Linked DNA regions of Arabidopsis thaliana. The protein of the gene in region 4 interacts with the protein of the main gene of each other region in a pairwise test. Each region holds a gene or a part of one and is shown on either strand. Other genes may lie near its edges. The genes, in order: ARFA1D, PRK3, SUB and AT2G29180.

Region 1 (6,990 bases), on a different chromosome or scaffold from region 4:
AGGATTGTCGGGTGGAACAAAACTCTTTCTTAAAGGCTCTGCAGAAATTAATTCTCTGCTCTGGCTGGATCTGATAGTGATTTTACAGATTGTTCAGGTGCTTTATTGGGCTGTGTTTCTTCGTTAGTAAAGCTTTTTGCTTTCCTTTAGTTTAGTGAAATCTTAAAAATGTTTAACTTTGCGGCTTTACTTCAATTGCCTTATACACTGTGCAGGTCAGAAATGGGCAATCCGGGATCAGACACAGAGAGAAACAAGGGAAATGTGGTCTCAAGTGTGTTTGATCCTGCACTCTCTCGATTCGTTGGATTTTCCCAGAAACTCCAAACTCGTCTTAAGGTCATGCTCTGATTCCACACATTGCTTTTCAATACCTTGTGATGTTTTTGATCTTTAGAGGAGCTGAAAAAGGAAGCATTTTGTTCTCTTTGTCACAGTCCCAGCTGAAGAATTTGACAGATGATAAGCATGGGATTGGTTCTTCATGGAGGCAAGATAAAGGAAACTCATCGATCTCCATGCAAATTGATCTGGAGAAACAGTTAGATTGTTGGAGGGAAAACCCTTCGTGGACTGATCAGATCCCAGTCGTTAAGGTGAGCAAGAGATGAACTTTACAACATGGTTTTGTCAGAGTCTTTGAGAATCTTGTTATATGATAAATAATAACAAGATTTCTTTACAGGTGGGTATTCCAAAAGGATCGCTTTGCAATCTTAAAGCCGAGGTGAATGTTGGTTTACCTCCTGATGCAGTCTATAACATTGTAATTGACCCTGACAATAGAAGAGTCTTCAAGAATATCAAGGTACGTTTCTTATAGATTATCTTGTTCTCTCTGTTACAGTTTTAAGCTCCTGTGATTCATTGGCCTCGGAATTACAGGAGGTTATGTCGCGGAAAGTATTGGTAGATGACGGGTTAAGGCAAGTGGTGGAAGTTGAACAAGCAGCTTTGTGGAGATTTCTCTGGTGGTCAGGAACAATCTCAGTTCATGTCTTGGTGGATCAGGATCGGGCAGATCACTCTGTAAGACCTCTACGATTATAACAAAAGTCTCAAGTTTCTTGAATGGTTCGTGAAAGGGGATTTAAATGGGTGTTGCAGATGAAATTCAAGCAAGTGAAAAGTGGATTCATGAAGAGATTCGAAGGAAGCTGGCAAGTAAAGCCTTTGTTTGTGGATGAACATATGTGCGATCGTTTGAAACCGAAAACGCTGGAGGAGTATAACAGGTGCACTGGAGGTAAAGGGAGGATCGGATCTAAGGTAACGCTGGACCAGCTAATACAGCCAGCGATTGTTCCACCTCCGCCCATTTCTTGGTATCTCAGAGGAATCACGGCTAAGACGACAGAGATGCTTATCCATGACTTGTTGGCTGAGACCGCCAGGATCCGTGCAGCTGGAGTAATGGAGGATGGTCACTCGCCCGATGAGCAACGGATTGGCACACCTGGAGATATAAAAGAAAGATGGTCTGCACATAGAAGAACATCAAGGAGACGACGCAATGATTTGTGTTAAGTCACAGACTCACACAGTCCATGATTCTGGGATAATAGATATCTTGAGGATTTTTGGATCACCCAGCAATATGTGAACATAATATAATATTTGTTTTCATAAGATACACTGGCATATAAATGTGGGAATCTATTCCTTGTTGAAGAAGTTTACAACCATGACTCAATGACTCATGACCATTACAACCATGACTCAATGACCAATAGTGATATGAATTTTCAAATATACAAAATTTCTAATTCATTTATTTTGGTAAAGAAAGAAAGATATTTCTGTGATGAAAACGATGCAGACGTGAAAATAGGATACGCAAAAACAAGAAAGCAAAACAATCAATCATATTAATCCAGGCACAATACACGAAAGCTATTTAAAAGGGTTCTTCTAGTAAATTTTTAGGTACAAGACCATCTACTTGCACAATAAGAAACATTCACATACCCAAAAAAGCAAAAAGGTTCAGATAATATTTATAATCTCTCTTGCATCAAGACAGAGAGAGATCCCAACACAGCAGACAGAATCATCTCGATGCAACGCAATTTCTCCCTCATCATGCCTGTGCAAGAAGAGCAACACGAGGTAAAGATATAAGCATCGCAGAATAAAAAGAAACCAGCTCGTTAGATTTGTGTGTTTTTGAAGAAACTTATGTAGTTATGTTACCTTGCCAGCGATGTTGTTGGAGAGCCAGTCCAGACCTTCATAAAGCCCTTCACCTGAAGTGGCACATGTGCTCTGGATATACCTGTAGCGAGCAAAAACACACATCAGTATCGAACAGAAATTGTTTGACTTTTGAAACTTATAAGGATGTTTATTTACCAATGACGCTGACGGAGGGAGTGAAGGCCAAGCTTATCTGTGATTTCAGCAGCGTTCATAGCATTTGGAAGATCTTGCTTGTTGGCAAACACAAGCAACACAGCATCACGCAGCTCGTCCTGCAATAAAAGAGTTGGTAAGTAAAGGATTTTCAAACTAACAAAACTATGAAGAAGAACTCTTTCTCTATAGCACTGGATATTTACCTCATTCAGCATCCTGTGGAGTTCATCTCGAGCCTCAACAACTCTGTCTCTGTCATTGCTATCAACAACAAAGATTAGACCTTGAGTGTTCTGGAAGTAGTGTCTCCACAAGGGACGGATCTGAAAAAGAAGCCAAAAAGTCAGTTTATTTGGGTGAAAAGTTCCTTCATCAAACAATAAGCAGTACAGAGACTCCATACCTTGTCCTGACCCCCGACATCCCACACGGTGAAACTAATGTTCTTGTATTCCACAGTTTCCACATTGAAACCTGTTGATAGAATTTAGCATATCACTAATCGATCCTAGATTTTATACCATCATCACAATTTAAAAACCAGTACTAAGGTGTGAAGCTTCTTTACCAATAGTAGGGATGGTGGTGACAATCTCTCCGAGCTTGAGCTTGTACAAGATTGTGGTCTTACCAGCAGCATCAAGACCAACCATCAGAATTCGCATCTCCTTCTTGGCAAAAAGCCTGCTAAACAGCTTGGCGAAACTCAACCCCATTTTGCTTCACTGCAAACAAACACAACAAAGTCTAATATCAAAAACCTCATACACATTCTATATCACGCGATTTTCATCTCAGAAATCCTAAATTATGCATCTATAATGCCAAATTCAATTCTTATATCCTCTAAGAACCTGATCAATACCAAAATCGTCACTCACAAACATCAAATTTCAACGAGATCAGGCCGATCCAAACAGAGAATCAAACGTCCCGAGATATCATAATCTCTCTGATACAGATCTTCAACATCTCAGAAGCTATCAGATACAATCACAACGACGGAAAACGAAAGTGAATAGAAAATTCAACAGATCCACACTATCAGATCGTAATCAGAAACGTCGACATATATACACATCTTAAAAATAAAATCGCATTATCCATTCATGAGCAAGATCAACCTCAACGAAATCAATCACGACGATTCCAAAACCATCAAAATTCACAAGAAACGAGAAATGCAGAACACATACAGATCTACGCTAAATTGAGAATGTATGAGCACAGATCTTAGATCAAAGCGTACCTACGAAGAATGTTTCGGAGAGATCTGAGAGAGAGAGACCGCGAAGAAACGGAGAGAGCGAGAGAGACTCGAAGAAATTTGAAAGAGAAATGTGAGAGAAGCTTAAGAGAAACGCGATGACGCCGAAATGGGAAGTGGTGGAGAGCAATTTTATAAGGGAGAGGGGTACCGGTTTATTCGTCGTTTCTCACGCCAATTAACGAAATTGCCATTTGTAATTGACGGAATTACCCTCTTCGAATCTTCTATGACCAAGTGTGCAGGTGTTCGCGAGCTAACCAATTAAAACTTAACACGTGAGCAATACTCTTTTCTTAAGTGCTACTTCATCTCCAGTGAAAATTTCGTTATTTGTTGATGTTGTCTGACCAATAAGAAATCGTCATTTCAATCAATTTTGATAAATTTTATAATTATTAAAATAATTTTAATATATATAATATGATTACATATCTACATCTATTAATGATATTTTTAATGAAATTTTGTTTGTCTGGTTTGGTTAACTTTGGGAAACGTTAGCCACAAAATCATTTAAAAGATTTATTTTCAAAATGATAAAATTAATCAATTGAGAGACAATTCCGGTTTAGTATTAGCTTAAAAATTTAAACATTTGGGTCTGGTTTTGCTGCCAACCCTTAACGATCATAACAAAACATAGAGAGATGAGCAAATGCTACAAACTACCAAATAAGCATTCATTTTTTATACAAAAATATTAATCTTTACCTTAATTATAATCAATTTATAAACACTACAATGCTTTTCAATCTCATTGTATATGCTTCATTAACAAGCTATATATATAAGGTCAGTTGCTAAAGATGAATTACAACTAAATATAACGTGCACATTCCTCACTACAACGACCGTCAAAATATGTGATCACCTTAAAGCTCATCATGAGCATTTTCAGTTTCTTTTTCGACCATAATAGTTTCTGCCAAATACTGATCAGTTTGGTTTAAGCTCTTGTCGTCATGCGAATACAGACAATCCGCAGAAGGATGAACTACACCATAACCAAACCCTTCAGCAGAGTTACAATATGCTTCTACTTTTCCATCATTGCCTTCCAAGTTGATATTGTTGAGGACAATGTGGCTGCAAGGGACTGCGTCACTACACTTGAAGTTGATGGCTTTTGAGCTTTTCGTGGTTCCGGTTATGTTCCTGTACATTATCTCGGATATGTGAACCGCCGATGTCTGCAAAGAAATAGGAATCAAAAGATTAAGTTTCTTTCTTGAGGTTTGTTGATAAGTCAATGGTTATGTGAAAGAATTAAAACCTGGTTTTGACAAGTTGATGGTGAATCACAGTAGAATTGATCGATTATAATCGGATTCGCAACGTCCTGCATCACTACGTTCTCGAAACGTACACCCTTTACGTAACCATTACCACCCTGTTTTAAAGAGTTTCATCTTTCAATCAATCCTGAAAACTCTTTGGAAGGAAAGCAAAGATCAATAGAATTGAGATTTTACCTGCCATGTCTTGATTCTTAGACCATTAGTTGTGTTCTTTAAGAACGCAGTTTCCAACACAACTGCAGTGACGGTTCCTTTCGAATGTCCTTGTCCAAGACTTCCAATACTACAGAACAAGAAATTATTTGCAATCAATAATAATATATGTGTCTCATTTCTTTTTATGGTTAGAGATGGTTTACCTGATTCCATGTCCTGGTCCACAGTAGATCCTCTTCATCTTTATCTTGGCGCTTCCATTCACAATCGAGACACAATCATCTCCTGTTTTCAAGTTGAAGTGTCAGCTATAACATTTTGAGTTTAATATTATAATTACCATGATAGTGTTTTGAGTTAAATAGAAGTTTTTGGTGAAGAACCTGTGCTGATTTTACTGTCTTGGACTACAACATCGGTAGATGCGGTTATATGAATTCCATCAGTGTTGGGACTGTCTCCTGGAGATGTGACCATAACTCTAGAGATTCGAACTGTAGTTGACCGTTGTATGATCAAGTGCATCTGTTGGCTGTTCCGGATAGTTAAGCCTCTCACATACACATTTGAACTTGAATATATAGTTAGAGCCTGTATAAAAGTAAAGACTTTCTTATAAGCAAAATCAAACATAAATGATAAGTCTAATGGTCGATGAACACAAAAGGGAAAAAACTTAGACCGTTGGTGCGCCTACGCAAGGCTACAAAAGAAAAACAAGAAAGATATGTGTCAGATTTCTACTTCATGATTGATTAGAAGAAAGTCCACTTTATGTAAAGAAGATACTTACGTTAGACTTGTTCTTCTTGCAAGAAGCAGCCCACCATTTGGTACCAGAACCATCTATAACTCCATTCCCTTGGAATACAACTCCTTGGAGTTTGGAAAATTGAAGCCAATTCCTTGGGAATTTCGGGTCCCATTGGCTAGGCTCATCTGGTGCTATGATTGTTCCATCAATCTATCAAAATCAAAATTAAAAAAAAATAAAAATGCATAAGACAATAAATGGTAACATGTTGTTGTAGCTTAACGTGTAACAGGAATTAAGAAGTTAAAAGATTACCTGAATGATCAATTTTTCTTGACATGGACCATCGAATTTCGTCGCATTTACTAAATAGCTACGTCCTTGTGGAACCAATAAAACAGAGTTTGGTGCAGAGCAGGCCATGGTCCAAGCTCTTATAAATGCCTGGTTATAAGAGAAACTTTTCACTAGTTGATAATTAAAATATATATATATGGTGGTTTTGTGTGTCTATTCCACCAGCATTATCATGAATTTCTTAAACCGATTCGAGCATAACGCACCTGAGTATCATCAGAAACTCCATCTCCAGATGCATTAAAGCTATCCACATTCACCAGATTCTTACCAGAATATTGGCTTGTAAACGACGAGAAATCAAAGAAGGTCACATCATCCTCAATATCATCCTCAGGTACATCGAGGTTCTCAAGCTTCCCAAGAATGTCAAGTTCCTTGAACAACATTTTTCCTGTAGCTCCATAAGAAGCTACCATCAACAGAGCAAACAGAGAAATAATAAAGGGTTTAATCATTTTATGCTTAAGAAAAAAAGAACTCCAAGCAAAGATTAAGTGATTGTATAGTTTAAGATATGAGATTTTATGCAAAAATGATTTCTTTGTAATGAGATGATAATATGGTTTGAATATATATATAAGCAGATCATTAAGGCGATTTTATTGGCTTGGCTTTAAAGTAGATGAAGACAAGCCCTTAATACAAATTCATCTAACCTTAAAGCACAAGGCTCCCACTTCTTTGCTTTACTCCAAAAACTCTACACATATTTTCCTGGTCAACATATTGATCCCATTAACTCTGAGAAAAGGACGCATAAAGCTAAACATGTGACATTTAAACATTTTTTTTAACTT
Region 2 (7,718 bases), on a different chromosome or scaffold from region 4:
TAATGAATGTCCTGTAAGGACCAATTTCAAACTGCTATTGAGTCTTAAGATCGCATGAAGCGTAATAGACCTTGGTTCCAAATATAAATATCCTCGTAAAAGTGAAGGAGCACAAAATTAAAAATGACCAAATTGAGGAAATAAATATTTTGATGATCTCTTGAAGAGAGTGAATGATCTCTAAAAGAGACATAAACATGACAAATGAAACATTCAAGTACTTGACAATGAAGAGATCTAGCTAGCTATGTCATGTCAAAATATAATGGAATCAAAAGCAAATCGACGTCGTAATATATTTGCATGCTATGAGCAGTTGATATTATGGACAAAAAGGAGGATCATGAAAGAAAGTCTATTGAAAAGTGTACACAAAGTAATGATTAGCCAAAAATGGAAAAGAAGAAATAGACATATAATTATAATCTCTAGTAGAGATATTTGGACTACTAGTCTATGCACATGATGTGTAAAACCAGTGGAAAATAAATGACTCTTTATGTGAAAGAATAGTGAAATTAATGAGATTTTCACAAAGATAAGAAATGTATTATGAAGAGATATATTCTCTTGTGGTGGATGTAATAATTTTTTTTAAGTATCTAAAATCTGGCAATAAGAGACGGAACACTGGATATGACATTTATATGAAATTCTTGAAAGATATAATCTCTGAAGGATTAATTATATGAGAATTATGTTCTCTAAAACTCTACTCGATCGAATAAAAAGAAATATGTAACATGGCATATAATCATATAAATGTATATTTATGTTGAGTTTGTCAAAATATATTGATCAAACTAATATTTGTTTTGAAAATCATTAAAACTCCTACAGAGTTATCATAAGTAATACGATGACAATAATGTATGATAAAATATCACAAGATAATGATATTTATAAGTCTATATGAAAACCATATAATTTGGATCATTAAGATTATGGTTATTAATTCCAACGAGATATTGTATTTGATTGAAAATCATCTCCTGAAGAAGATGTTTCCGAGGGGGAGATTGAATGATATGCGTGGATGTACCCTTTTTCCTTATCATAGTTTTTATCCCACATGATTTTTCTATGACAAGGTTTTTAACGAGACATTAAAGAACACGCAAATAATACACTTGATGAATATTAAGAAATTCTATCAATCATCCAAATGAATATTATACACTAATGATATTTAGAGAAATAAATAAGATGGTCAAGATGAATCATCTAAAAGATTCATGAGCAGAAGAATGGCGTTGTACTTTATCCAGAAATTTGTTCAAGAGAAGATTTGGAAGACTTATTCTCAAATACTGTTTATTCTCTGCCACATCTTCTAATCATGCAGAGATTTTACCAATTCATGAAGCTAGCCGCAAGTGTGTATGGCTAAGATCCATAGTTCACCATATACAAGAAGACTGTGGTATATATGCAGGGAAAAAAAGACTCCAACAATTATGTACGAAGACAATGCAGCATGCATCGCACAACTCAAAGACGGATACATCAAAGGCGATAGAACAAAGCACATCCTACCAAAATTCTTCTACACACACGATCTACAAAAGAGCGGCGATGTACGAGTTCTACAGATCCGTTCGAATGATAATCTGGCTGACTTATTCACCAAAGCGCTACCTACTGCTACTTTCAAGAAGTTAGTCTATCGTATCGGATTACGCCGTCTCAAAGATCTGACGAATATACTCATAAGGGGGAGTAATTGTATGTTGCACTCTTTTTCCCTTAACCATGGTTTTTCCCATTGGGTTTTCCTGGTAAGGTTTTTAATGAGGCAGCATTTCAAATACTTTACGAGTTATGATACTATAATGGTCATCAGGGGGAGTGTTATGAATAAAGATGGATGCCCATTATAAGGCCCATCATCTAAGCCCATCATCTAGATGTTTCTAGGGTTTTACCCTTTCCTTGTACTCCTATATAAAGAACCCTTTATCTCAATGGAATAACACACTCATTTCTTCTATTTCTTTCTCTGTTTATAACAAAATTGGAGTTTTCATGGTTCTTTTGCGTAAAAATCCATCTTATATAACACAAAAACATGGACTTATATACATCAGAAGTTCCTTTAAGAAAATAAAACTACTAATATGATTTTACATAACGTCTTTTGACAAAGAAAAATGGAAAATATCAACAAAAAAAATCTATGAAACAACAACAAAAAAATGGTTTGCTCCTCACCTCTTCCTAATGAACACAAAAAAGAAAAGGACTTTTTCGTTACCAAACAATACCTTCTCGTTTGTTTCAGTTTAATTAGCCAGAGGAAAAGAATGTGTCATTCCTATTTACGCAACGTACCATTTTCCTCATTTGTTTGTTTTTAATCTACAGATTCCAAAAGCTTCTTTCTCTCTAACGTTTTCCATGCGTTTACATTTTCAAATCTCCTCAAAGTGTTACTCGTTCTATCCTTCTAACAATCTCCTTCATGTTTTGTCTCTCGTTAGGGTTACTTGCGATACAAGCAGCCCCGATCCGCAACAATTCAACCATTTGTTTTATCGAATCAGTATTACTCGCAATCTCGGGATCTATAAGCTCTTCTTCTTTATGTTGTGCGATTGAAGATTGCACCCATTCGACTATATCCGTCCCTCCTTTACCAGTATTTAGGTACTGAGACGGGAACTTCCCCGTCATGACCTCGAGAACGATTATTCCAAGGCAATAGACGTCTGATTTTGGTGAAACCTGCTGGTTTTGTACAAACTCGGGGGATTTGAACGCGAATAAAGCTTGTGAGGCGTTGTTAGGCTGAAGAAGCGGGAGGAACGCGTAATCGCTAATCAATGGCTCATAGGTTTCACTTAGTAGAACGTTGCTAGATTTGAGATTTCCATGTGGAAGATCGTAGGACGCAAACTCCTCATGCAAGAAGTCCATTCCTCGTGCCACTCCTTGTATGATCTTCAATCTTGTTGCCCAAGTTAGCTCCGAATGATAAACCCCACGATCTCCTGCAAATTAAAAATATATATATATATATTAAAAAAGATCGTAAAATATGCTTCTACATCAATCAAGAAAAGCAAAAGCGTTGTAGTACCGTGCAAAACGTAGAGTAGACTGCTTTTAGGCATGTATTCAGAGACAACAAGCTTCTCTTCTCGACGATAGTGATAAGCTAAAGGGGTAAGAACGTTAGGGTGTCGGAGTTTTCCGAACCGTTGCATCTCAGTATCGAATGCTTCACGTGCAAGTTTGTTCATATCCCTAATCCTTTTCACAACCACGGATAATCCGTTGGCCATCACCGCCTTGTAGGCCGATCCAAGGCTACCATTGCCTAGCACCTCAGCTGCAGCCTTCATGAGATCAGGTAAACCAAAGGAGCCTTTCTCGCTGTTTACCATTATAATGTCTCCCATTCCGCTTCCTGGACCACCTCCTGCACCTTTTCCGTTATGCGATGAACCTTTCTTTGAGGAACCTTCTGCGTTACTACGCTTCTTGCTCGAGTCGATAGGCTTCTTTATTGAGTCCGGTACACGAACTTCCACGCTCTCTTGGTCGCTTAGGTGGTCTTTACCGAGCATCCGGAACTCGGGTTGCCTCTTCTTCTTCCATCTTGTAATAATAGCTACCACAAACAAGAATATCAATAGAAACAAGATGACCATAAAGATAGCTTTTGCAGTGTTATTCTTCTCATTCCCTGACCCTGTAGATGAAGGTTTCTCATCGCATTCTATATTCAGAGGTGACCCGCAAAGCCTCTGATTCCCTTCGAATTTCATCTCTAGATTCTTCCTGTCGGAAATGGTTATTGGGATCTCTCCCTCTAGATCATTGTTGGAGAGGTCAAGGGATTTCAAAACCTTGTTGCCATCTGTAAGAGGAGGTATCTCACCAGTGAACTGGTTTCCTTGCATGTGAAGCTCCTCAAGACCTGCGAGTTGCATCAAAGAAGCGGGGATTTTTCCGGATAACCGGTTGTTATCAAGAAAAACCCGCTTGAGTTGTGGCGTTTCTTTGAAGAAATCATCAGCAATCTCACCAGAAAAGCTATTGTTTGAGAGCAAAAGAGATTTCAAGCCAGGTAGCTTGAAAAAAGGAGGGAGAGGACCTGAGAGAAGATTGTTGTCAAGCCTGATCGTTCTTAGATTTGGGAGATCTTTTAAATCCTCAATGTTGATGGTCCCGGAGAGACCAAGCCGGGTGACGTGAATGCCCGAAACTGTTTGACCCTTTTGGCAATAGATCCCAAACCATTTGCCATTGCAAGGATCGGTTCCTGTTCTCCATGAATTCAAGTCTCCTTTAGTTATATTCACCGAGCGCTTGAACCGCACGAGCGGTTCCGATTCACTAACGTTTTGTAGAGAAGGGGTGAAGGAAAAACAGATGAGAAGGAAGCAGAGAAATAGAACAGCAGTCATGGGTTAAGGAGAAGTAGAGGAACTGCTGTTCTTGTTGTTCTTGTTGTTGTTTTGGTCTCTCCTAACAATCTAATAACCAAGATAATGTTAAAAATATTGATGTATGGCGTTGTCTCTTTGTCTAGGAATGTTTTTTTGTTTGGATTTTGTTTATGGTTCAAAAGTTTGGACATTGTTTTTGAGGATCCGCAAGGAAAGTGAGAAATGTTTTCTTGTCTTTGAGGGAATTAGCTGGTAAAGTTTAGGCTTCCACTTACTAAAAATAGATTTTTATGATTTTCCTAAATTAAAGATTGTCTTTTTCAATTGAAAAGAATTGAGAGCTCAGAGACTTTCTTGGAGGATTTCTTACGACCATGGTTTTTTAAAGGTTTTGACCTTGTTTTCACCACATTTGTCGGGTTTCTTTTGTGCGTCAAGTAACAGTTTGCATATAGTTTCTTTTATTATTATTAACATTTTTACATACAAATCGTAGATATCACATAATCATATGAGTGATCTCTAAAAACCATGGATGTATTTATTCTTTTTCTTTGCTTAAATTTTTGATGTTTAGTTTAATTTGATTACTATTTCCTTTCTCGAAAAAGAACATGAAGTAGACATTACGATCATATTGAATTTCAATATCAAGTTATTAACTACACGTTTTTGTTTTAAAGAGAAAAACTAACTAGACATTAGTATATGGAATGATCAACATATACATGTAACATGTTCAAGCTAGTTTTTCAGTAATAAATTATGGTTCTTATATACAAAAAATGTCATCAAAAATAAAATCAGAAAACAAGTATAACAATCCGCTCAATGCACCACCACTTTAATTTTGGTTCCTACTAAGGTGTTACTGAGATTTAATCCAGAACATGATTTCCTTGCGTCGCTAGAAGAAAGGAACTTAGTGTTTGCTCTTTTCTCTCTTCCTTTGCCCTGAATTTCATGAAAATGCTAAAAAGCTCTCGATCTTAAACTCATTAGAATCTTCCCTAGACTCATGATCTTTAGTCACATCATATACATTGATGCAAGTGATGTGTCCATGAATATGTAAAACCCTCTGATCGTATAGCCTTGTTCTTGAAAACTAGTTCTCTTACTAATTTTGTCAACATTTTGTTAACGAGTCTTATCGTTTTCTCACCATTCTAGAGGCTCTATTTATCAAGCAGATTTATGTTAAATCTTTATACATTTATACTTACACTACTTGCACTGAACCTGTTGAAATTTCAACTCCATTGAACATGTTGAAAAAAGTTTTAACTGTTAATTTATTCAAATAAAGGTGTTGAAAACTGAAAAAAACCAATGTGGATTTTTGGATGTTGAATCTATCCAACATGTTTTTTTTTGGGCCACGCATGCCACGGTTCATCACTTTATGGGAAGGTGTGTTTCACACATTCGCGCATGTTTTCTATTATTTTTTCTTAAAAAAAAAATTATTGACATGACACTTGTTATATTGTTATTGGCAATTGAAATTTTTATCTCACCTTATGTATCTAAAATCAATTATTATGTAACAAATCATTTATATGAAAATTCATAACTTTTTAACTCTATAAAAGAAAACTTGGTTCATTTGATTCAGACACATAAAAAACACAATTTCTATCATAATTTTTTTATTATCTTATAATAACTATGTCAACTTTTTGTTAATTTAATTTAATTTAGTTGATATTCAAACTTAATTTATCAAAAAATATTATTAATATGCAATCACAAAAATTTAAATATATTTAAGAAAATAAAAAATTGGAAAATAATAATGTAAGATAAAATGTTAAATTTTATTAAACAAAACTATTGTAGTATTGAAAAATTAAGTAGATGTTAAATGATGATATGGAAGAAAGAGAAGATGATGTGATGTGTTAAAAAAGCAAAAAAGGATGTTGAATGAATTTAGGGTTCGAATGGTAACCGTGGTTTTTGTTGTGCGGGGAAAGCGTTATTATAGTGGGTAAGGTTCAACTGCGGTACGTGCGAGAGAAATATATTTGCGGGACAAGTGCGATTTGTACAAAATAAGCGGTATAGAATAATATTTGATTGGTGAAAAAACTATATATGTACAAAATAAGCGGTATAGAATAATATATATGTATATATTAATAATTAATTATTTTTTTGTTAATAAATAAACAATAACAGATATTTATAAACCACTAATACAAAAATTGATCAAAATATAAATTTAATTTTGTAACATACATATTGTTAAATGCGTTGACTAATTTCATCATAAAAAGTACAATACAGTTCATGTTTGTTTCTAGAAGGAGGACCATAATAGAATTGAGACATATGATATCTCACAACTCGATTTCGTGACGATCTATAAAGAGCTAAAAATCCTTATTTATTTGGGTAGCCAGAATCAACCAGGTAATATTTCTCTGAAAGAGGCAAAGGGAACCGGAATCACTTTGTTGTGCTATTTGCAGAATAGCTGTATAGTGGCATGAACCTGGTGCTCCATTCCAAATATATGTGAATAACATATTCAAATGACATATTGCCATGATGTTCAATGATGCATTATCGGGTCGATTCCAATACATTCTCTATAACTCAAACTTTACTTTTAAGCATACATGAGTCCCATCATTAGCTCCAACGAACCCACTAAAATATAGCCAATATCTTCGGAACTCGATAAAATTCTTGTCTTTTCGGAGTTCTAATATATTCACATGCTAATAATTCAGTTGCCGTAAGAACTTCTCTAAACTTTCTCTGCACAATCTCTTTATTTCGTCCAAATCTTAAACCATCGTCTCTCTGAACTTGATTGTGTCCACATATTCGTAGAAACATCGCAACTCTTTCTTCAATACTTATATTCAATGTTGGCTGAAGACCATAATTTGTTTGCAACATATTACACAATGTTGTGAAACATGGAAGTGACATCAGTAATAACTGAAGTCAAGCAGCATCATCTTGCTGTAGTCGACGCCATATATTTCTCCATCCCAAACATCTATCAGTTTGGACTGGACTTTTTGAAAATACCGTTCATAATAATTCAAAGCTGGTTGAACTACTAACTTTTCAAATTGTTCGTTTTCCAAATTCCACAACTCAATTCTTTCTTCGTAAACTAGATTATTAAGGTCTTGTGATCGCAACTGACATATACGAAATGCCTGAAATTCAATACAAACGATATATGTCATTAGACATAAATTATTTTGCAAACATAAATTAAATAAAATTCAACATTAAACTTAATAAAAACATAAATCATTTCAAAATATAAGTGAGATTGATACACCACAATAAATATAA
Region 3 (9,796 bases), on a different chromosome or scaffold from region 4:
TGAGTGATTTGAGGTAAATTGAGTTTTTCTATGTTTTTATGATTTTGGGTGGATTTAAGGAAACCATTCAAAACCACAATGCCACCTAAAGCCATAAGATTTAAAAATCTCTTACAATCATTAAAAATCTAATCCTTAAGTTTTCAAGGACATGAAAATTTTGAGTAGATTTTCAAGCTTTCAATAACACTAGATTTTATTAGATTTTATTAGACCTTTTAAAATTTATAATTAAATAATATTAGATTTGCTATTTTAACACCCCCATAATTCTCTAGATCCCTCATTTAATTCTCGTTTATATTTTTCCATCAGTAAGAATTTACATTTTCTATAGCCATTTGAGCAATTATGGCAAGTAGTGATCATCCTATATGCAAAAAAATTAGATGGCCCAATTTCAAAAAGACATCAGTGAAAGGAGTTTCCGAAGAGAGCAAGCAATGAAGCAGAGATAGAACCTGGATTCAAAAATTTCATAAATAGATCGGAGAGTGCGAAAACGTAATGGCATAAATAGATCAGAGATTCCACAATTTGATGATGATGAAGAAGCATAGCTCTTGTGGTATGACACGTTGGCATGACATGCCAAAGCTACCCGCGCAAGATGGAGGTGAAGCAGGGACTCACTCTGTTTGCTAGGAAGCAGGACATGAAGGTTCTTGACGCTGAAAGCGGACACGACTTTTTGTGGATCTACTTTTCATTTTCCTTGCTATCCCTTTGGAGTCTGTATGGGAAATCACTGGAAGCAATATCGACCTAGTATGCATTGGCAACTTTTGTAGAAGCTTGAAGGACTTGAGCTCTAGGGGAGGCACAGATGCATCTACTAACACATGTATGCTTCCTTGGCAATATAGTTTGCAGAAACCGTTGCTTGGGGTCAGTTATTTAAACAGTGACGGTAGTTCTCAGTCGACACCTCATGGTAGCAATGGGTTAGTTAAGAGAGGGGCAACATACATTGTCTCAGATGATCTTACTATTTGCGTAAAGAAGAAGTTTGATGTGAACTTGGACGATATTTTTGAGCATGAAATCAACATTGGCAAAACACATGTATATCTATATTACTATTCTTTCCTGATATTTTTTTTTGAATCTGACACTAATCCAGGCCATAGGTTTACTAAGAGCCTCATTCGTGACATCCACTGCCTTGACTACGGCTTTCGGGAGCTTTCTTTCAGAGAAACGACTCTAAAGCATCAATCACATGCCCTCTGTGGAGCAGATTGATTTGAAGTTTAGGTTTTGTTGTCTACAGTGCTAGTTGAACAAGTTACCTTCTCTTTTACACTACTGTTAAGTACAACCTTTTGTTCTTGAATTTTAATGTCTTTTGATTCAAAAAATGTTTATCCTTTTCAGAAAATAGAATCTAAATACATGATCAGGTTGGTGAATAATGTTTGAGCCGGTAATGGGATTGGGGTTACATAATGATGATCCCATAGCTCATTTCATACAGCCAACAACATACATAAAGTGTTATTATAATACAAAAGAAATACTTTCATTCATCAAAGGACAAAGAACAAGAATCTGACAATAAACTATTGCTTCTGCGTCTTAGTCCAAGGTTGTGTATCTTAGATCATATGTTGAAGATCTTGGACTATTTCTGATATCGGCGGTCTAAATCCTGGTTCCATCTACAGACAAAGATAAGCATGCACAGAAGTCAAAAGGGTTAGTTAATATTCTGATGTCACGTGTTTGACATTGCTTTCTCATCTAGTTAAGTGATGAATGAAGTTAAGTTTACCTGCAGTGAACGTGATATGATATCTGCAAAACGTGACAATGATTTCATTGGATACGCTCCGTGTAATGACGGATCAACCATTCTTGTCAACGCATCGATGTCATGAAGCCGAGGAATCGCCCACTGAGCTAGTGTTTGATGTCCCCTCGGCCTTGTCCTGCAAAAAAAAACAGGGTTTTGTCTTGAGATAGTGTAGTACAGTGATTTTGCATAAGAAACATAAGTGAACATGTTGACTTTTGAGTTCAGACTCTTTTATGGCTTCTATTAGTTGTCTCTTTAGAGTAGCTAACCTGTCAAATGGTCTGCGTCCAGTGAGCAGTTCTAACATTACAACCCCAAGGCTAAATACGTCGCTCTGACAAGTGTAGCTTCCATACTCAACCTCAGGAGCGGCATAACCCGCCATCTACAATTTTATAAGCAAACATCATATCCTTTACAACACTCACTCTTATGTTTGGGATCTTCAAAATAAGATGACAAATTTACCTGACTCGTTGGGCGTGGTGGTAACATATAAGCCAAACCGCTGTCTGCAACACGTACTGAGAGCTTTCCATCAAGAAGAACCTTGGAAGACTTGAAATTCTGGTGAACAACCGGCGGTTGACATACCTCATGAAGAAACCTGAAACCAAACTCTAAGATCCTATATGTTCCAAATATAGATTGGCGTAACATGTTGAGGTTCTTTAACTTACTGCAATGCCTTTGAAGCTCCTAATGCAATATTTATACGTACATTCCAAGTGAGCTTCTTGTGCAACTTGCGATCCAAATGTAGTGCATCTTGAAGTGATCCATTAGGACAGTACTCATACACAAGTAACCTTTGACCAAACTCGTTACAGTAACCAAGAAGCTCCAATATATGACCGCGTTTAAGCTTCAACACATTGGAGACTAGATTGAGGAATTCGCCGTCACTCTGTGTTCTGTTGATGGTATTGCTCAGCTTCTTCACCGCAAGAAACTATAGATCACAACGTGTCAAGACGTAAATAAGAATGCACAGCATAAAATACTGTAAGACCAAATGACAAATAAGAGGAAAGTGTCACACCTTTCCATGACGAAGCTCAGCTCTGTAGACATTACCAATCGACCCTTCCCCGATTATATTCTCTTCTGAGAAATTATTTGTGTATTGCTGAAGTGAAGCAATGGTGAAAACAGTAGCAGAAGATGAGGAATTCAAGCCCGGGGGGAAATGAGCCGCTCTCTTTGAAGCAGTATCATTGGACTGGAACTGCCTCGGTGGTTGTTGCAGCGGCTTTTGAGGTGTATTAACATCCTTATTATAATATGAAGTAGGAGGCATTGCTCTCCGGCTCTCTTCAGCCCGCTGTGGCATTGGATACCCATATTTCCTGTCTCCAGCTCCATATCCATCGAAAGGCTTAACCATAGGCTCCCGAGAAACTGCAACAAAAGAAAACACCACAGCAGTTTGCCGTTAGGTAATGAGCCAAAGCACAAGTTTCTTTTCTTTTCTTGGAAGGAAAAGAATCAGTGTACCTTTTCCCATAGTGGGGGTTGGTTGAGATGGAGGCTTATTGAAGTATGGTCGTTGTAAATCTTTACGAGCTCCACTGTAATATCGGTTATATATTTTACTTCTGCAACATCTCCAAAGTGTAACACACAAACCGGATACAAGAACAATTATGGCCACTGAAGAAACTACTAGAATGATTCTTTGAGTGGACCAGAATTTTCCTGATCCTGAACCTGAAGGAGGTGATATTTGCAAGGTAGGTTGCCCTGACACAGAGTTCCAGGGATCTCCTCCTCCATTATCAGAAGAAGGTGGTGACCAGACCAGAGGTGGTGATGGTGGTGGATGTTGTTGTGGTTGCAGTGGAGCAAAAGGAGCAAAAGGTGCTGGGGGAACACCAGAAACAGGAGGGATACGGGGAACAGGAGGAGCACGGTGAGTAGCGGGAGGAGGATCAACCACAGGCGGAGGCGGTGGTGTTATAATCGATGTATTGAACGGAGTTCCATCTTTTCTGCGGTTATAATGACAATGTAACATGAATGGCTAAAGAAAAGGAAAAAAAAAACATTCAAGTTTTCTTTTAGTAATACTTACTTGAAGTTTGGAATTTTCAATAGATTTGGCGGTATAGGTCCCGAGAATAAGTTGTTTTCTACATTCCTGAATCAAAAATATGAAAAGCCATAGTGAGATACTGAAGTTGGCTTAATGGTTGGAGAGTCAAGAACAAAGAGTATGCAAGGTGAAAAACGATTACAAATCGGTTAAGAAAAGATCCTCTATAACATCAAGTGTTCCTGTGAGCTTGTTGTCCTGCAAATACCTACAGTCCGACCACATCACATATAAAAGCAATGATAACAATGTTTGTATACGGTTTCATATATGTGCACTTACAATATCTTAAGAGAAGCTAAGTCTCCCATGGAAGAAGGTAAATGCCCCTCCAGTATGTTAGACGATAAGTCCCTGCATTAGAAACTTAATGTATAAATGAAAGACGCTGATGGGAGGATACAAAATGAGACTTAGTGAGGAGGAAATATACAGTTTTGTCAGTTTTGATAGCTGCTGAAAGTAATCTGGTATCTCTCCTGATAGAAGATTGCTTCCCAATGACCTGAAGGGAAAAGAAAGAGTCTGCTTCAAACAGAGGAAAAACCGCAGATGCAAGAAACGGTATCTACATTAATAAAGACTTACAGTTCAGACAAATCGGATAGAAAGGACAATGTAAAGGGAATGTTCCCAGTGAAGCGATTGCTTGAGAGAGATCTGAAACAAGAAAATGAAACCAAACATGAAGTGTCTTTTAACTGTTGGAAACATAAGTATTGCCATACACATAGTCAATTCTCAAACGCACAGGTTTCGGATGGAAGAAGGCAAAGCCTGCGGAATTGTCCCTGAAATATGATTGCTACTGAAGTCCCTGTCCACTCAAACAAAGAAGAGAGAAAAAGTATCACAAAGCAATTCAAGATTATAACCAAACCTTATAGTCAATGGTAACAACATCTTGCATGTTCTTCACATAGCAAGAAGCCTCATACAAAAGATGAAGATGAAAGAAAACAAGACAAGAAGCTTTGCTTACATGACTTGGATAGATGAAAAATCAGCCAGAGTATCACTTAAGCCTCCACCTACCTTCATGCCAGGTATCCTTCTGCAGCCAACAACAATAATTCACGTGGTTAGAACCTGAATTGGTGACTCAAAGCAAACCATAACAAAGAGTTACAAGAGCAGAAGAGGAAGTATACATTTCTGTGATGTTTGAGGAGTCACACACCACACCTTGCCACTTTTCTCCACAAGGGTCTCCTCCAAAAGCAAGCCAATGATGTAGAGATGGTGCTCCCAAAGTGATATACAAGTTATTAATCGCCGAAACTGCAGAAGTTATTAAACAACAGACAAACACATCAAAAAGTAAAATTTCTAGAGATTAAAGAATCTTTCTTATGATAACCATTTAATGAAGAACAATAAGAACAAATTTCTTGGTCTTGAACTAAAACCCTAACAAGAGCTTATGTGTCAAAAACCTAAACTTTTTAGGGTTTTTGAGGTAGCCTCAAAATCATAGAACTTTGCCAATCTGGAGCTTCCCAAACAGCTATATTGCTTACCTAGTTTACCCTAAAACTGATGTAAGTCATTTTCACTAGACACAAGTCTAAAAAAAATCTAGAGTGTTCACTAAACCAAAAGAAGGAGAGTCAAAGCAAAATCCAAATAAAAAAAACTTTGCAGAGAAAGATTATTACCATCTCGTAGATTAGTAACTCCAGCTGAGAAAGGCATTGTCAAGGCTAAAACAGAGAGACCAAAGAACACTTCCCATCTTGTAAAGCTCATAACTTCAGCCACTGAAGATGAGAAAACCCTTGAACTTGGATTAGATTGTTTCTTTCCAATAAAAAACGAAGATTCAGAGGGAATGTTATGGAAAAAAAACACGAGGAAGAAGAAGAAGAAGAAGAAGAAGAAGGGTGAAACAGGGATATTCCTGATTAAAAGGTAAAGTGAATCATAATTTCGTCGGATTTTTAGGAGAGAGAGAAAGAAGAAAAGAGATGAAGAGTGAGTGAGAGAGAAAGAGTGTAGTGTGTTTTGTCTCGAAGAACGAGCGGCTTACAAAAGCCAACGGCTTTGTTTTTCTCAGTTTTAAGCCTTTAAGGTTTCGTCTCCAAAGTGTGAAACAGAGAAAACTTGCCAAGACTTGTCTCTCTTTATGTCTTTTAATTGTCGCTTCTATGCTTCATCTAATTACTATAGTTTCCTTTCATGTAATAATTGGATTTTTCTAATGCCATAAGGTAGAGAGATAGAAGTGAATATTATTTTGATGTAGATTACATATTCCGTTACTTCACCTATTAAAATCCAAATAATGTAACAGGCAGAGTTTATCACACTTATTTCAGTGAGATGGGCCAAGAAAACAGTTGAAGTAAGAAAAGCTCTGAGAATTCTTTAATGGAAGAAGAGAGTGAGAGACCCTACAACAAGGTCAAAAAAAATATCATCATATTCATCCCACGTCCATTTTTGCTCTTTTGGTGATAAAAATGTGTGAATTAGTTTTAGTAACAAACTAATAGCAACAAACTATTTGAGAAAACTAGTACTTTTACATGGTTTGGAAATTGATTTCAATTATACATCTTAGTGAATCCTAATATATGTTTTTAAACAATTAGAGCCAATAAAGGGTTTTTTCTTACGACTTTAAATTGAATATACTTAGTAATTATACAATAATTATCTTTTCAATATATTCTAAAAATAACTAACTAATGTTATATGTATGATTGCACGGTGCATTTTGGTTACCATTCGAAACCTTTGTTTTTCTATTAATAATTAAGAATTCTGGTTTTGTGTTTACAGTTACAACTAACAATCACTATTTATCAATTTCTTTGGAATATATTCTTAATTTGTATTATTCTTTGTTTGTTGGTTGATGTGATGGAGGATTTGTGTACAATTCAATAGTAGTAATTTAATGGAATGCCATCATTGCATAATTTGAGATGAGAGTAACTTCGATATTCATATGTGATTACTTCTCAAGTTCCTTTTTTGGTAGGAGTTACTTCTGAAGTTCTGATATTCACATAAATTATTTGCAACCCGAATAATAACAGCAAACATACATTGTATGATCAATAAAGAATAAAACATGCTTGGTGAGCTTATGTGTTGATATTAGATTTTTATTTTGTCGAGATCAATTAATTATCAATCGATTTTTTTGGCTTGTCAAAATCAATCAAGTTCACACCATACACGATAATAAGTTGCGACTAGTTAAAAAAAAAAAACCACATTCTTATGGGCTATTCAAACCAAATGTGGCCCAAACTTGGTCAATAGTGTAATGGTAAAGCCCACTTGAAAGAAGATACCTCTCGTAGGCCTAATAATGCAATGAGATTGCAACGGTTACTTTCAATCTTTGAAGAAAAGTAGAAAACTATCGTACATGATGCTTTTTTGCACCCAAAAAAAATCGTACATGATAACATTTTTTTTTTTCAAAACCAATATGCCAAGTGCCAACCATAATAAACCGAACCAAAATCAAATAAATAATACCGAATCAAATTTTTGTTTCGACCGAACTCGACCCAAAACTACACCAATCAGGTTGGATTCATTTTGATTCTTGTACTTCAAAAAATCAGAAACCCCATATAATAATGATTGTAGCACTTATACATGCATACCAAATTAGTTATGAGATTGGAAGATGCATGATAATGAATTCAAACTATTGGTCTCTTAAAAAAGAGTGTCGAGGAAAAAATACAGATATTGTAAAGTTAGGCTTTATTTTATAATATGGTCTCTCATTACGCAAAAGGCGAAACAAAATTAAAGAATGCAACACTACTTTATGGTCACCCGTTAGCCAGAGGATCCAAGGCACATAACGAATGTTTTATTTATTTAAATCAAATCTAGTTACGTATCTACACGAATTTTGGTTCAAGTTTTGGTTTTACATCACCCTAGCTTTTTCCGCCCTACCATTTTACATCAAGAAGCTTCAAAGAAAAAGTTCTATAGATTATGAAAAGTCAAAAAAAGAACTTAAAAGAATTTGTTAGACGATACTTGGATACAATTTGCTGTTATGCACTTGATCGTTTTGAAAATATTAAATTGATCAGAACTATTGAATTGTCTCGTTCCATTTTCATTTTCCAATATACACAAGTATGATACACTCAAACTTTCTAAATTAGTTTGAAGTATGATACAGAACTATTGAAGCCTGTTTTTTTTTCTCTCGGCGGAAATTATTCAACATTCATCCAATAAATTAGTTAACGTGTGATGTGGGGTGCAAAAGGACAAACAAGAAAGCGTTAAGAAAAGCATAATCTTTACAATGCTCTCTCCAAAAGATGAGCCTATAAAAGTAAAAAGAATAATAATAAAATTGCTATCAAAAAAAAAGAAAAAACGTTTGAATGATTTACTAATAGACAAACCACAAAATCGAATTTTTGTACTTTTTAAACAACACCTAAATACTTTTACTTCCATACCTATGGTAACCAAAAAGGAAGGATCCCAGTTTTGTTTTACACGATTGAATATAAACTAAGATAGTTAAGTAAGGCTGTAGAACAAATAAACTATTTTATACACAAACTAGAACCTACTAATGGTTCATGTAAAACTAAATAACTATTTTGTTTTTACACTATGAATCAAGTCTTAAACCAATTATAAATGAACTACATTTTGATGTAAAAAAAAAAAAAGAACTACATTTTGATTGAAATAAAGAAGAGTATTGGTTTATTAATATAGGAAAAAACTAAACCAATACACTTATGTTAACTAAGTATTTTCTTTGATTTTATAAGTCACACAGCATATTCAAATCGTGGATTAGTTCTAGACGATAATACAATAAATAAATTACTAATAAGTTTAGCCTATTTGAGTATAAAAGATGAAGACTCAAATATTCATGATACATTATTTGAAATTTGTTGGTTCGGACGATCATAGTGAATTGAATTTAGTGTATGATGGTAACTTTCTTTTTGGGGTCAAAGTTACGTGACTTTGCTTGCGTCTGATTTTGACTGTCAGAAAATATATAATAATTGGTGTCACGGAAGCAAATCTTTTGCCACCCTACTCACACATCATACAATTTAATTTCTCATTTTTTATAATCAAAAACAGAAAAACATTTTAGTATTTTTCAAAATCCACAACCAAACAGATTCTGAACTGGCGAAGCATGTGAAAACTGATTAAGATCAAATAACTTCGAAATTGTAAATTCCGGCGATAATTCGGTAATAAGATACATTATCTCATAGGAAGATGAAACACTCTAATGAAACAAGAGGGTTCTCAAACGAGTCGTTAGGGGCAGAATTGTAATTTCCAATAGAACCCGGCCACTTGTGATGATTACACTCTTGATCCGACCCGTTCATATTCGGATTGAGTCTGACCCGACCCGGAGACTGGCTTTGTCTCCTCATTGCTCCACAACTGTCTGTACTCTGTTGACTCCGAGTTGGGCCCATCATGACGGACCTGTTCATCGCCGGCGATCTAGACCTTCTCTCGGATCTTTCAGTCGAGTCTCTCGTACCCGTAGCCGACGGAACCAGCCTCACCGAGCCAGCTTCTTCTTCGTTGTTTCTCTTACGTGGAGACATATCGGTTCTCCGGTTTGGATAACTAACCATGACCCGGTTCCGAGATTTCGCCGGAGATCTCTGTCTCACTACATGAGATTTCATCTGCTTCACTTCTTCCTCGTCGTACTTATTCACGATCGAAAGCAAACTCTCGCTTAAACTACAATTCTCCGAAACCTCCGATCCTTTTTCCGGTTCAACCAAACTGGGCTTGGTCAAAACCGGTTCTTGAGCAACGTCGACAACAATCCCGGGTTTCTTCTCCTCTTCTTCTTGAATCTTTGTCAACGTAGTCTTCTCCACCGTCGAATTGTCGTTAGAGGAAGT
Region 4 (5,736 bases):
TTCCCTTGAATGTCTTTTATCTTTTTTCTTGTGTACAATTTGTCCCAAGCTAACGTGTACTTGGGGATTTTCATGACCAGTTCGGATCAGTATGGAAGCCGGTTTATTCAGCAGAAACTCGAGACAGCAACAAGTGATGAGAAAAACATGGTTTATGAGGAGATCATGCCACACGCTCTTGCCCTGATGACTGACGTTTTTGGAAACTATGTGATTCAGAAGGTAGATTTATTTAGTCTTCCTCTTTGGTTTTATTTTAGAGTTGAGATAAGAGATTCCTGAATTTTGCTTATCTTCCTACAGTTCTTTGAGCATGGACTCCCACCACAGAGAAGAGAATTGGCAGATAAACTCTTTGACAATGTTTTGCCTCTTAGCCTACAGATGTATGGTTGTCGTGTTATTCAGAAGGTATGTTTTACTCTTCTCTTTAAGTCTATCTTCGATTCTCAAAATGGTTTGCTATGTTTATAAGTCTTATCTTCGATCCAGGACAGTTAAGAGTTTTGTTATGTTTATCCTTTTAGGCAATTGAGGTGGTTGATCTAGACCAGAAAATTAAAATGGTGAAAGAACTCGATGGACATGTGATGCGATGCGTACGTGATCAGAATGGGAACCATGTGGTTCAAAAGTGTATTGAATGTGTGCCTGAAGAAAACATCGAATTTATTATTTCCACCTTCTTTGGCAATGTTGTGACCCTCTCCACTCACCCATATGGGTGCCGAGTTATTCAGGTTCTTGCTCTTAGTAATAAAGAAAAATTACACAGTTCTTGATCTTATGCTTCTAAGTAAAACACTTCTCGTCTTATGTTGCAGAGGGTATTGGAGCACTGCCATGACCCTGATACTCAGAGTAAGGTTATGGATGAAATCATGTCAACTATTAGTATGCTGGCCCAAGATCAGTATGGAAACTATGTTATTCAGGTTTGTTAAAAAAGAGTTATACTACAACTGGTTATTTTGTATAGGTTGCTTAAAAACTAATACACGTTTTGTTGACAGCATGTATTGGAACACGGAAAGCCTGATGAGCGTACTGTGATTATCAAGGAATTAGCGGGGAAGATTGTTCAGATGAGCCAACAGAAGTTTGCTTCAAACGTTGTTGAGAAATGTTTGACTTTTGGAGGGCCAGAGGAACGGGAATTTCTGGTAAATGAGATGCTGGGCACAACTGATGAAAACGAGCCTCTTCAGGTTTGTCAAACACATACTTTCAGATGATTGTTGGAGAAAATAAAGAAACTATTAGCTCATAAGCTTCTTCATCTTTTGTATTTAGGCGATGATGAAGGATCAGTTTGCCAACTATGTAGTGCAAAAAGTTTTAGAGACATGTGATGACCAACAGCGTGAGCTGATCCTTGGTCGTATTAAAGTGCATCTCAATGCTTTAAAGAAATACACTTATGGAAAGCATATCGTTGCTCGTGTTGAAAAACTCGTTGCTGCTGGAGGTATGTTTAATATGTTCTTTGGCTCCAAAGTTTCGACCTTTACCTGCTATAAACCTTTCAAATTGTCTTCACTTCGTTTTATTTGTATCATCTTACTTGATTGAAGAGACTTCTATAAGGATTGGAGAAAGAAAGACAATATATTGCGTGTCAATGTCTCTAAGTGGGTTTTTTCTCATATACAGAGAGGAGGATGGCTTTGCAGTCCCTAACCCAGCCTCAGATGGCGTAAGGCCGCAAGTGTTGTACAGCTTAACTAGGGTGGATGGCTCTGCCATAGCGTTTTGAGAATTAGGTAAAATCTAAACCGGAAATAATCTGCGGGAAAATTGTGAAGGAGAGCTTTGTTTTCTCTGCAAATCTGTAAAATTGTGTAGTTGCTTACGGTTTTTCTATACATAGAACCAAACATCCCACTTTAGGCTGATGAGTAAGAGAGGAAATATGCAGAGAATGGTGTAAAGGTGGGCTGAGGTATGGTGAGGATTTTAGGGTTTCCTTTACACGAAAGAGAATGGCTTTTTCATTGCCAAATGTGTAGAAGTGAGAATATGTTCATGCTTTTAGGACAATCCTAGTGTTTAGAGTTTTTTCTCCATCTATGTAATTTGTTTCATCAAACTCTTGTTTCCTATTTCACTAGTAACTCTTTCGTTTCTGTAATATTGCAATATTTTTGTTATATCGACCATCAAGTTGCTTGGTACACAAGAAACATATCATAGATGTGACAATCACTGAGCAACATTACAAACAAAATCAATCTTTGTCTCTCTACTACACACAAAATCACTCAAGATCAATGTCGATGTCATCATCTTCAATCTTCTGACCAAAACCTCTTGGTCCAGCTCTGGCTCTCATTGCCTTCTTCTTCCCACCTTTCTTAGACTTCTTTGCTGCCTCGTCTTTCTCAAACTTCTCTCTCTCCCTCTTCCCAAGAAACTCAGTCACTCCAATGTACACAACCTGTAATGAAATAAAACCGGTTTAGAGACTCACAAACCGGGCTTCAGGTTTGGTTCTGTATTTTGATTTGACATAGTTTATGGATAAGATTGGTTTTGTGGATAACACTTACACCAATGGTGAGAACCGTGAGAGCAAGAAATGCAACAAAGAGAAGCACTTGTATAATCAAAGCAACACCATCTTGTCCACCACTAGACACAACTGCTCCAGAAGAAGAAGATGAATCAGAAGAAACGATCTCTTGGGAAATTTCTTCCGGAGTTGCAGAGACTCTCCATAGTTGGGTTTTTTCTTGGTGAAGACGAAGAACCCTAAAAGACAAGATCTTTCTTCTTGAAACAGACCAAGAGAGTGGAGATATATGGTGGCCTTTAACTGGAGTTTGGAATCTTGGTCTGAAATTTGAAAGAGATAGAGATGGTGTTGTTGTCGCAGACATCTTTCCGTCCACTCCCACACTCTCTGATCTCTTCAGATTCTGGACATAACCCACTTCTGTTTGGTTACATCCAACGGTTCATGTTTTCTTGAGATTGAGAACAGATTATTGATGGGCCAAGAAAAGCCCAATATATTATTTTCGTGGGCCTTATATTTCTATTAGTTTTTGATTATGCATCATTAGTTACGCCATCATCACTAAACTACAGTCTTAAGATTGTTTACTTTGATCTCTAATTTTTCTACCCACCACAACAGTCACAACGTCAAGAGATACGTTAGCTTTCCTCAATTTCTTCAAACAATCTCATAGCCTCGTATCATTAATTCATCATAAATAGCCATTTTTCATTATCATTTCTCATCAAAATACATCATTACACAACAATGGCTAGAGCAGAACAGAGCTCAACCCATGTTACATGGGGTCTTTAGTTTTTCTCAAACAATGAAACATGAGTCGATCCCATGTAGTTGGGGCTTAACCCTTAATCGAGGCCCATTATTTTGAGTAACCTAAGAAAAACATCAAAAGGCCTTACTGTGTACGAACGTCATTACTCATTATTATCATTCATTCATTCATTATGAATTTTTCTCAACCATAAATTCAGATCTCCAAGAAAATATCTTTGGGTCTGTGGCTCATAATCAGAGGTGGCTAAGACATTCAGACAGGGGTTTCAAAGGACAAAGTTAAACAATTCACGTAAAAGTATCTTTGGCCACCCTCACGACTAGTCTTCCACCTCTTGGCCTTAAATATGTGACCTTCATTGAAGAAAATAGTATCCAGAAATGGCTAAAGCAGAAGAAAACTTGAGAGACAAATGTAGATGGAGCCTTGGAGGCATGACCGCTCTCGTTACCGGTGGCTCCAAAGGCCTCGGGTCAGTCCCCCTACTAATCCAATATTGAATACATTAATATGTCATATTACATATTTGCACGTGTCAATATGTATACAACTGTGTTATGAATAGGGAAGCTGTGGTGGAGGAACTAGCCATGTTAGGAGCAAGAGTCCACACATGTGCTAGAAACGAAACTCAGCTTCAAGAATGCGTACGTGAATGGCAAGCTAAAGGGTTTGAGGTCACCACTTCTGTATGCGACGTTTCTTCTCGTGACCAACGAGAGAAACTCATGGAAAACGTTGCCTCTATCTTCCAAGGAAAACTCAACATCCTTGTAAGTTTATGTATAAGAGCATAATGCATAAGGTTTTGAGCAAGATCAAGTGATTTTTTTGTTGTGTATTTGTTGGAAGTGATCAAGTCATCATCTTATTTTAGAAGAGATATATTATATAGTGAAGTAACTGGTTTATATATATTCGTATCACACATCGAAGAGATACAAATATAATTGTTAACTACAAAACAGTTACATGTGTGTATGTGTCTCTACATTAGGTTGTCTTCTAGAGACGTGTCCCTTAGTCAAAGTGTGTCATGTAAACCTATAAATACAGTTTGTATATGTAATAAAAGTGTGTGGTTTTCGTTTTATAAAAACAGAGTGAAATATAGAGTAAGACAAAACAGAGTAAAATCTGTGTTGTCCGATCCTTAACAACTTTGAGAGTTCAAAGTTCTACATGGTATCAGAGCTATGGAGACAACAATGCAGCAAGTTATTCCAATCTTCAATGGTGAATCGTATGGCTTTTGGAAAATCAAGATGATAACCATCTTGAAAACAAGGAAGTTGTGGGATGTTATCGAAAATGGAATTACGTTGAGTTCGTCGTCTGAAAACTCACCGGCGTTAACTAGAGAGCGTGATGATCAAGTGATGAAGGATATGATGGCTCTTCAGATTCTTCAAAGTGCAGTTTCTGATTCAATATTTCCGAGAATCGCTCCGGCATCAAGCGCAAGAGAATAGATGGAGTTCCAAGGAAGTTCACAAGTAAAGATGATTAATCTTCAGACCTTGAGAAGAGAATATGAGAATCTGAAGATGGAGGAGAGTGAAAACATAAATGATTTCACAACCAAGTTGATTAATATGAGTAATCAACTAAGAGTTCATGGTGAAGAGAAAACCGATTACCAATTGGTTCAAAAGGTTCTTATCTCCTTACCGCAACAGTTTGATAGCATCGTTGCGGTCCTTGAACAAACAAAGGATCTATCAACTTTCTCTATGACAGAGATGATAGGTACTTTGAATGCGCATGAGAAGCGCTTGAGTCTCCGAGAAGAACGTATCAATGAGGGTGCGTTTTATGGAGAAAAGCTTGGCTCAAGAGCAGAAAACAAGCAAACAAAAATCGCCATGGGAAGACCAACATGTGGTGCAGCGTGTGTAAGAGGAACAATCACAATGAGGTAGACTGTTTCAGAAAGAAGAGTGAAAGCATTTCACAAAGAGGTGGAAGCTATGAAAGAAGATGCTATGTGTGCGACAAGCCAGGACACATAGCCAGAGATTGGAAACTTAAAAAAGGTGAAAGAGCACATCTAAGTAGTGAAGAATCAGAAGATGAAGAAGAAGATGAGTGTCATATTCTCTTTAGTGCTGTTGAAGAAAAAGAGATCTCAACAATTGGAGAAGAAACGTGGTTGGTAGATAGCGGATGTACCAATCACATGTCTAAAGATGTTAGACACTTCATCACTTTGGACCGCAACAAGAAAATTACCATAAGGATTGGTAATGGTCGAAAGGTCGTGTCTGAAGGCAGAGGAGATATAAGAGTATCCACAAACAAAGGAGATCATGTCATCAAAGATGTACTTTATGTACCCGAACTAGCAAGAAATTTGCTTAGTGTCTCTCAAATGATATCCAACGGATATCGAGTCATCTTTGAAGACAACAAGTGTGTGATTCAAGACTTAAAAGGA

Evidence for each region.
Region 1: the proteins of AT2G29180 (region 4) and ARFA1D interact in a protein complementation assay, tested with the Arabidopsis thaliana proteins (one large-scale study listed by BioGRID).
Region 2: the proteins of AT2G29180 (region 4) and PRK3 interact in a protein complementation assay, tested with the Arabidopsis thaliana proteins (one large-scale study listed by BioGRID).
Region 3: the proteins of AT2G29180 (region 4) and SUB interact in a protein complementation assay, tested with the Arabidopsis thaliana proteins (one large-scale study listed by BioGRID).

Annotation. Positions count from the first base shown.
Region 1 is NC_003070.9:26,562,082-26,569,071, forward strand, and holds ARFA1D (Ras-related small GTP-binding family protein), read right to left. Parts: upstream 3,731-6,990; 5' UTR 3,605-3,730; exon of another isoform or gene 3,081-3,604; 5' UTR 3,072-3,080; coding exon 2,924-3,071; intron 2,830-2,923; coding exon 2,759-2,829; intron 2,679-2,758; coding exon 2,559-2,678; intron 2,472-2,558; coding exon 2,353-2,471; intron 2,276-2,352; coding exon 2,194-2,275; intron 2,087-2,193; coding exon 2,081-2,086; 3' UTR 1,637-2,080; downstream 1-1,636. Other genes in the region: AT1G70480 (OBP32pep, putative (DUF220)), read left to right, coding at 169-339, 438-596, 686-808, 886-1,029, 1,108-1,527; AT1G70500 (Pectin lyase-like superfamily protein), read right to left, coding at 4,498-4,815, 4,899-5,015, 5,098-5,206, 5,283-5,364, 5,463-5,670, 5,762-5,782, 5,873-6,043, 6,149-6,277 and 1 more. UniProt on the Arabidopsis thaliana protein: GTP-binding protein involved in protein trafficking; may modulate vesicle budding and uncoating within the Golgi apparatus.
Region 2 is NC_003074.8:14,951,281-14,958,998, reverse strand, and holds PRK3 (Leucine-rich repeat protein kinase family protein), read right to left. Parts: upstream 4,637-7,718; 5' UTR 4,413-4,636; coding exon 3,080-4,412; intron 2,991-3,079; coding exon 2,422-2,990; 3' UTR 1,968-2,421; downstream 1-1,967. UniProt on the Arabidopsis thaliana protein: Receptor-like kinase involved in the control of pollen germination and pollen tube polar growth. Can phosphorylate ROPGEF1 in vitro.
Region 3 is NC_003070.9:3,718,981-3,728,776, reverse strand, and holds SUB (Leucine-rich repeat protein kinase family protein), read right to left. Parts: upstream 6,070-9,796; 5' UTR 5,643-6,069; coding exon 5,552-5,642; intron 5,209-5,551; exon of another isoform or gene 5,175-5,208; coding exon 5,045-5,174; intron 4,948-5,044; coding exon 4,876-4,947; intron 4,711-4,875; coding exon 4,645-4,710; intron 4,554-4,644; coding exon 4,482-4,553; intron 4,399-4,481; coding exon 4,327-4,398; intron 4,248-4,326; coding exon 4,176-4,247; intron 4,102-4,175; coding exon 4,036-4,101; intron 3,939-4,035; coding exon 3,873-3,938; intron 3,790-3,872; coding exon 3,296-3,789; intron 3,200-3,295; coding exon 2,841-3,199; intron 2,751-2,840; coding exon 2,479-2,750; intron 2,406-2,478; coding exon 2,267-2,405; intron 2,184-2,266; coding exon 2,068-2,183; intron 1,932-2,067; coding exon 1,775-1,931; intron 1,662-1,774; coding exon 1,599-1,661; 3' UTR 1,327-1,598; downstream 1-1,326. Other genes in the region: AT1G11145 (hypothetical protein (DUF674)), read left to right, coding at 611-661, 733-1,065, 1,141-1,245; AT1G11125 (uncharacterized protein), read right to left, coding at 9,134-9,796. UniProt on the Arabidopsis thaliana protein: Regulates the expression of transcription factors that define the cell fates.
Region 4 is NC_003071.7:12,540,224-12,545,959, reverse strand, and holds AT2G29180 (uncharacterized protein), read right to left. Parts: upstream 3,028-5,736; 5' UTR 2,880-3,027; coding exon 2,550-2,879; intron 2,438-2,549; coding exon 2,258-2,437; 3' UTR 2,125-2,257; downstream 1-2,124. Other genes in the region: PUM2 (pumilio 2), read left to right, coding at 81-222, 304-411, 528-740, 825-935, 1,014-1,208, 1,294-1,468, 1,654-1,700; AT2G29170 (NAD(P)-binding Rossmann-fold superfamily protein), read left to right, coding at 3,680-3,771, 3,865-4,096.